Linked DNA regions of Solanum lycopersicum. The protein of the gene in region 1 binds, or shares a complex with, the protein of each later gene. Links are inferred from orthologs where the notes say so. Each region holds a gene or a part of one and is shown on either strand. Other genes may lie near its edges.

Region 1 (3,891 bases):
TTGGGATCAATGCCCATTATGTTAGAAACCTTGATCATGCTCATCTGCATCATAAGAAAGTGAACAAGTAAAAAGTTCAGGAATAAGCACCAAATGATATTTTTCAATCATTAAGGTTCGGGTTGATAAAAAGGCGGAACGATAATGACAAACATGAATGAAGTTTTAAATATATCACAACTCCACATGAGCAATAGCATCTTGTGGACCAATTGAATTTGCTAGTTATAAAAAGAAATAACTGGACACAGTTTAGCCTGATTAGAAGTTTCTCCAATAGAAGCTTAAAATCTATCCAAGGTTTTCACAGCGGATAAGACATAATACCTTGGATTTAAAGAATCCATGTTAGAAATTGGACAACTCAGCTGCAAACTAAGCAGGAGGGGGGGTGACACGAAAATATTGCGGAATTACATCAGTAGAAACAAGAAAGAGTACTGACGTTATCTGAATAAGTTGGTGGTGGACGCAATGGGATCTCCAGCTCTAATGGGGGCCCAACTGGTTTTTCCTTAATTTTAGATTCCACATGCTCTTCTTCAGACTCGTATCCACCATCATCTTCAGGTATTATATCTTCTTGCTGCAATTTGCCGTAGCTAGTTTCTTCATCCATTAACTGCAATGAAAAATATTTTAAATCCCTAAGTGAACCAAACAACTACTAAAGTTGAAATGTGTAGCACTTGTACAAACATTTTGCTCCTCATCAATTTTATTCCGAACGACATAATCAGCCTCTTCTTCATCCTCTGAATCCCCAAACACATCACGAATCTCCGGAGCAGAGGATAAGTGGGCCTCATCTTTCTCTTCCCCAGGAGATCTACTGCAAAACAGAAGATCACTGTGATAAAAAAAAATTGGATGCTAAAAAACAACATAGAGAAGAATTCCATTTTCCAAGATGAGAAATCGAAATTCCACCAACCAACTTATGCAACCAAACCTTTTATAATATGTTTTATGCTATTGTCCACATGCTAATTGATATCAAATGATATGAAGATTTTACAATAAATAAACCCTAGCAGAATCAGCAATTAGCAGTTGCAATAGGACTCATGAGCTGATTATGAGAATACCATAACATAAATCTACATTCTCCCTGAGCAAAAACATCAGGAGGAAGGGGGGAGATAGTAGAGACAGGAAGGAACAGCAATACCTTGGACTTCTTGCTTGATTTACTTCCTCGTCTTCATTGTCACCGTAGTGGTTTTCCTCAGATCTTTCTGACTCACTGTCAATTACATCCCGCCTCCTACTAGTCACTACTCTTTGACCATATTCTTCTTTTTCATCACTCTCTGACTCTCTTCCTTCACTTTGTGCCCTCTGATCACCAACCTCTATTTCCTGAGAACTCTGATCTCTTTCACCCTCACTCTCTCCATGCCCAGGATCAACTTCTTGCATTTCACCTTCACTCTCCATCTCAGCTTCCCCTTGCCCTTCTACTTCACCTTCAACATCACCATCTCCTTCACCTTCACCTTCACCTTCACCATCATCATCACCTTCACCTTCACCTTCACCTTCACCTTCACCTTCACCTTCAATATCAACTTCTCCTTCGCCTTCGGGATCCAAGCCTCCATCCCCGTCATCCTGAAGCAGAAAGAAGTAGCAAGGAACAGTTTCAAAGTCCAAATGTTATGTAACCAAACACAGAGAAGAATGAAAAATGTGAATTCCAATTCCAAGAAGCAAAGGTAACATTGACTGGAATTATGAAGCTTTTATTTTGTTTGACCAAGACATAAACACATGAGAGCATGTTAGATCACTTCAAGTAATGTCCTCAAGTAGAGGGCTGAAACAATCAAAGAAAACTACAGTACTATGGCCCAGTAAATCTTCATACGCTACATCTATAAATAACACCAATAAGCAATAAGACTGCGCATCAGAGATTATCATCCACGATTCCAACCATCGGTACAAAATGTATATACCGACAATTATAGGAAAAGCATCCCCTAATTCTTGTTTTCCAAATAGGATTCAACTTTTACAAATTCATTCAATAGGAAATTCAAAGGTAATACTATAAATAGTGTCTCTTTCATCATTCATTCAGCTAACATGCCATAGAACAAGTAAGTTCGTTCAAACCACAGAACTGGCTACACATATTCAAGATTATTCAAGATTCCTTTCCTTGATTTTTTTCCCTTCATACAGCAGTACTAAATTGCACTAAACCTGTTCATTTATCCCTTCAAAATCATTCTTGTACCCTTAGAACCAATAAACATACCTTATATATAACCAATTAGGGCCAAGTTCAAAAAAATCAGCAGAAAATCAAACAAAAAAATATAACATTCATTCACCGACTAAAAACTCAACAAGAAAACAACTCGATTAATCAAAAACATCGAAATTCAGATTAAAATAAAAAAGATCAAACAGATTATTCAAGATTCCTTTTCTTGATTTTTTTTCCTTCACATTAGTACTAAATTGGAGTAAAGCCCTTCTAAAATCATTCTTGTACCCTTAGAACCAATAAACATATCTGATATATCACCAACCAATTAGGGCCAAGTTCAAAAATTCCGCAGAAAATCAAACAAAAACATATAGCATTCATTCACCGACTAAAAATTCAACAAGAAAACAACTCGATTAAGCAAAAAACATCGAAATTCAGATTAAAAAAAAGAAAAAAATCGAACCGAAGGCTGACGATTGGATTCATGTTCGGATTCGACCTCCTCTTCTTCTTCCTCCTCCTCTTCCGATTGGTCACCGAACAGGTTTTGCATCATCTGATGCCTCTTCTTCTCTTCACCCACCATGGCTCCTCTTTGCTTTCTCTCTTCAACTCGCTGCTTTTTTAGCCTTTTTCCCTTGAGTTTCTGAACACTGTTTTGTAACGCCTCTCACAAACTGTGTGAAGCTGAGTAATATCACACCTGTATTAAAAGGTTTCCCTAAACTGACTGACAGTCACAGATAAAACATGACAAACCAATGATAAATTTAAGAAAATATAAAATAATTAGGTTTTCCAATTTTTATTTGCTTGTCTTTTTTATATTTGTTACAAGCGGTGACCCATTGCGTACTTTTCACACGTAGCATCTTAAGCGGTGATGGAAATTGTCTGCGAGCGAAACAAACTGTGGGTCCCTGTTTGTAATCTGAGTTGGATTTATTCACAACAAAGTCAAAAATGTTTTCAAACTTATTTTGGGCTTTAGTTCTTTTAAGGAGAAGTCATAAATGTCCTTACCGATCGTTTAGTAAAATGCATTACAAAAATAATATATACATTAATTTTAGAGATAATTATATATAGGGAAAATTGTATATAATAGCAAATTAATAACCTAAATTAAATGGAATAGCTAGGGTTTGATTTAATTGTGCTCCATAGCAAACATTAGCTAAAATTTGTCAGCGTCTCTCTCCCAAAAATCTCGCTCGTCTCTCTCGCTTTATACACAGAAGTGTATAATTTTGTTTCTGTTTTGTATAAAGCGAGAGAAAATTGTATATACACATGCAAAAATGTATATCTTTGTGTTATACACTTAATTATACAATTTACAAATATTTTACTTCAAATATTGCAGAGAAAAAGGCCAACGAATTATACAATTTCGAATTATACAATTGCAATGAAATACAATTTTCTCTAGCTTTATACAACAGAAGTGTATATATTGTGTTTCTGTTTTTGTATAAAGAGAGAAAAACATATATCTTCTTGCTATACACCTATAATTATGCAATATACATACATTTTAATTCGATTCAACTGTATGCAAAACAAATTATACAACTGCAGATAAATAGGCCAGCGAATTATACAATTTAGGCCAGCGAATTATACAATTGTATATGTATAGCAAATTATACAGTTTTATGTTTGCT
Region 2 (3,828 bases), about 4.2 Mb from region 1:
ACTCACATTTCTAGCAACAACTGTTAGCCCAACAAGCTCAACTAGCCTGTGTTATATGGTTGGGAATTTGGGTAATTTTTCCACAAAATAAACTTTAGCTTTTTAATTTATAGTATGGTTTAAGCATAGTTGTATTATGCTAGCTTTCATGTTTCTCAAATCATTAAACTTTTTTAAAATTGAATAAATATCTATTTTTAATAAATTTAATATTTCGATAAATGTATTAGAAAAATGATTTTATAATTAATAATAAAAATAAATTAGAAATTAAGTGAGAAAATATCTTTTGTTTACTAAACTGAACAAGTAAAAGTGAACATTCATTTTTAGTATTATGAATAAACAGAGTCGTATGCAGGAGGGAATTATCGGGTTCATATAAACTCATGCTTCCAGTTGAAATAGTAATGTTGTATATTTTTCTTAATTTTTTGTTAAACATAAATGTGTGATCACACTTGATGTATCATATAATGCGACGATGATTGAATGCACCTCTCACTGAGATTAGAAATTTGAGTTTTATATCTAAATTGTTCTATGTTTCTTTTTAAGATTTAGTAACGTCTTTATAGGTGGATATTGATAACAATTTTTTGGCGGTTTAATTTATTAAGCATTTCAATTTTGAAACTGTAATTTAAAATTCTAACCGTTGTCACTAATAGGAATCTAACTGTAATTTAAAATTCTAACCATTGTCACTAATAAGAATCTAACTGTAATTCAAAATTTTAACTGTTTTCAGTAACAAGAATCTAAATATCAGATCTAATAGATTCGCCTTTTTATAATAATGAACTTATTATTTCGAAATCCTGAATACTTTTCTGTGAATAAATAAACATGTAAATCTCGTGTCTCGTTAGAAATTGATGTTACTCTCTTTATTCTATTCTAAAAATAGATTGTTACTTATTCTTCAAATTATTTTTCACCATTAGTAAGTGATATTAATTATCATTTTTAATTTTTAAATAATGTGCAAAATTTGAATTGGACAAGAAAAGAGTAATTTTTTCTTATATTTGGTCAAAGAAAGTTTTTTGTTTTTTTTTTGGGAAAGTTGCAAAAACATAGGCGACGGCTATATATTGGTGATGCTAACTCAAGTGCCAATTTTGCTGAGCTAAACAAACACTTTGTCTCCTACTCAAATTCCCTCTTCATGTTCCAATTGATTCCTTGTTTAATTTGAACTGCTATTCGTTTTCTCTGTGTTTCTGCTTCATTTGATTGATTCGAATTCGAATTCCATTATCAAATTTGAATTGCAGAATTGAGAAGGGGTTCAATATTGTATTGGGTTAGGTTACCCAGTTTTTGGATTTTGAGAATGCTGAATTCAATGAATTATTTGTTTTGTTTTCATTAGGGTTCTTTTGATTTGATTTTTTTTTTGTGTGTGCGCGCTATAGGTAAATCTGAAGTGGTAAGAAAGAGGATTTGTGAATTGTAGAGCTTATTTTGTGGTTCTAGGGTTTTAGTTTGCATTTGGAGGAGTTGTTGTTGAGTGTCCCATGGCTTCGTATAGGCCATTTCCTCCATCATCGCAGTCGAGTTTTGTTCCTCCGCCACCGCCTCCGCAGAATCAGAACCCTCCGCCACCGCCGTCTCAATCCAGGGGAAGTCAGTACTCGCAGAATTGGGGGGGTTATGGGGTGAATGATGGATCTTCGTATGCTCAGCAGAATTACTCTCAGGTACACCAGGGTTCAAATTATCAGCATCCTGGTTACGTTCCTCCACCTCCTGCCACCAGAAATCAGTATCCACCTCCGCCTCCTCCTCCTGCGGATTCTTCATATCCACCTCCCCCACCACCTTCTGGGCAGCCTCCTCCCCCTCCTGCTCCAATGTATTATCCATCTTCTCAGGACTCCCAGTATAGCCAAAACCATCCCTTGGAGCCCCCACCTCCACCCCCTCCACCTTCATCTCCTCCAACTTCTGCTATTCCTCCTCCTCCCCCACCTTCTCAGCCACCGTCCCCTCCGCCACCTCCTTCATCAGTTCCCCCTCAGAAACAACGTAATGAAAGCAGGCACAGTGTAGAGAAAAGGCGAGAGTCTGGTTGGCGTGAATCAAGGCATGGTAACCACACTGCTCGTTCTAAACAGCCAGACCATTCTGTTCCCCCATTGCCAATGAAAAAATCCAATGCTCATTCAGGAAGGGTTGAGACTGAGGAAGAGAGGAGGTCAAGGAAGAAGAGAGAGATAGAAAAGCAAAGGCATGAAGAGAAGAATAGGCAGCATTTGAAAGAATCACAGAATAAGGTTCTGCAGAAAACCCAAATGTTAACTTCTGGTACGAAGGGTCATGGGTCGATCAGCGCATCACATATGGCTGACAGAAGAACCACCCCTTTGTTAAGTGGAGAGAGGACAGAAAACCGGTTGAAGAAGCCGACAACATTTCTTTGCAAGTTAAAGTAAGACGTTAATTCTGGATTTACAGCCAAGTGATTGTTTGATCCTTAAATATTCCAATTATTCTATTTCTATGTTGGATTAGTTACCTGATATTTTCTAGTGTCGGCTCTGCTGGAGATTGGAGTTTTCAAACACACTGGTTGGTCGAAAGTAATGTTTAGTTTGGGATACTTCGGAATGTTACATACCATTATATGATTTGACTTTCCTTGTAATGAGACGATAAATAACCCTTTAAGCATGCAACTATAACCTTACCATTCACCCCCATAGCACATGACATCTTGTTGCGATGCTTTGAGATCCTTTTTAGTTTGTGCTTTCTTCTAGTTCTGTTCAAATTTGTTCTTGTCGGTGTGGTTTCAGTTTGGGTCGTTGTAAGGGTGAACTTTACATGTGATGTTTGTTCCCTAGGGTAGGTTGGTGATAAACTTAATGAACATCATTTATTCAAATGGTAAGTGTATTTAGTTATTTACTGAATGACTTCTCTTCTATTATGTCATGTCTTTGAAAATGTTCCTTTCTCTGTTAGGATTATTTGTGAAAAGACTATGGTATGCTATCATATGGGACAAACAAGTTGTTTTACATATTAAATATTGCTGAGCATTCTGTAATTTTTGTGTGTTCTCTGCAGATTCAGAAATGAATTACCAGATCCGACAGCGCAACCAAAGCTTTTGACTTTAAGAAGAGACCCAGATCGGTTTGTGGCTCTCCTTTCATTGTGCTGGTCCTTTCACTTGTATTTCTGATGATCAATTCAACTGCAACTGCATCTTCTGACAAAACTAGAAAAAACTAAGCAAATCATGCTCTTTATATGTAGACAAAATGGCTTATCAAAAAATATTTACACAAAATATTCCATCTAGAATGTGCACCTTTTGTGAAGGTTGTCAGGGTTAAATGAGACTTCTTTCCCAAGCACTGCTCACAAGCCTTTTGTGTTTTTCCCCTTGAACATTTTTATCGTGGATTGCTGGTTTGCTACATATGCCTAATTTGGAATTGTGCTTTAACCATCACCTCTGGTTAGTCTGATCCAGAAGTAGTTAGGCTGTCGCTGTTGGTGTGAGAATGGGACGTGGACACAGCTATATCTTCTCTCTCTTAAACTATTTTATCAAGCTGCCTACTTTGTTGATTTTCAGTTGTTGATTTTCAGTTGTTGAATAGCCTCTCTACCCTCCACAGGGTAGTGGTAAGGTTTGCACACACTTTACCATCCCTAGACCCCACTTGTGGGATTTCACTGCGTATGTTGTTGTTGTTGCACAGCATTGCCGTGCTCACTATAAATCATACTAGGCATGAATTTTTCCTAGATTGGTCTTCAATATTTGAATAATAATATTGCTATCTACCTATTAACCAATCAACTATT

What was found.
Region 2: protein LEO1 homolog (region 1) and protein PAF1 homolog share a complex: the UniProt entries of both Arabidopsis thaliana proteins name them as parts of the nuclear PAF1 complex. The link is inferred for Solanum lycopersicum from reciprocal best matches to the Arabidopsis thaliana genes VIP4 and ELF7.

Annotation. Positions count from the first base shown.
Region 1 is NC_090802.1:61,885,816-61,889,706, forward strand, and holds the start of protein LEO1 homolog, read right to left. Parts: upstream 2,923-3,891; 5' UTR 2,811-2,922; coding exon 2,688-2,810; intron 1,615-2,687; coding exon 1,172-1,614; intron 833-1,171; coding exon 700-832; intron 623-699; coding exon 446-622; intron 45-445; coding exon 1-44. UniProt on the Arabidopsis thaliana protein: Component of the PAF1 complex (PAF1C) which is involved in histone modifications such as methylation on histone H3 'Lys-4' (H3K4me3). Involved in regulation of flowering time. Required for the expression of the flowering repressor and MADS box gene FLC.
Region 2 is NC_090802.1:66,089,660-66,093,487, forward strand, and holds the start of protein PAF1 homolog, read left to right. Parts: upstream 1-1,005; 5' UTR 1,006-1,523; coding exon 1,524-2,437; intron 2,438-3,078; coding exon 3,079-3,147; intron 3,148-3,828. UniProt on the Arabidopsis thaliana protein: Component of the PAF1 complex (PAF1C) which is involved in histone modifications such as methylation on histone H3 'Lys-4' (H3K4me3). Involved in regulation of flowering time.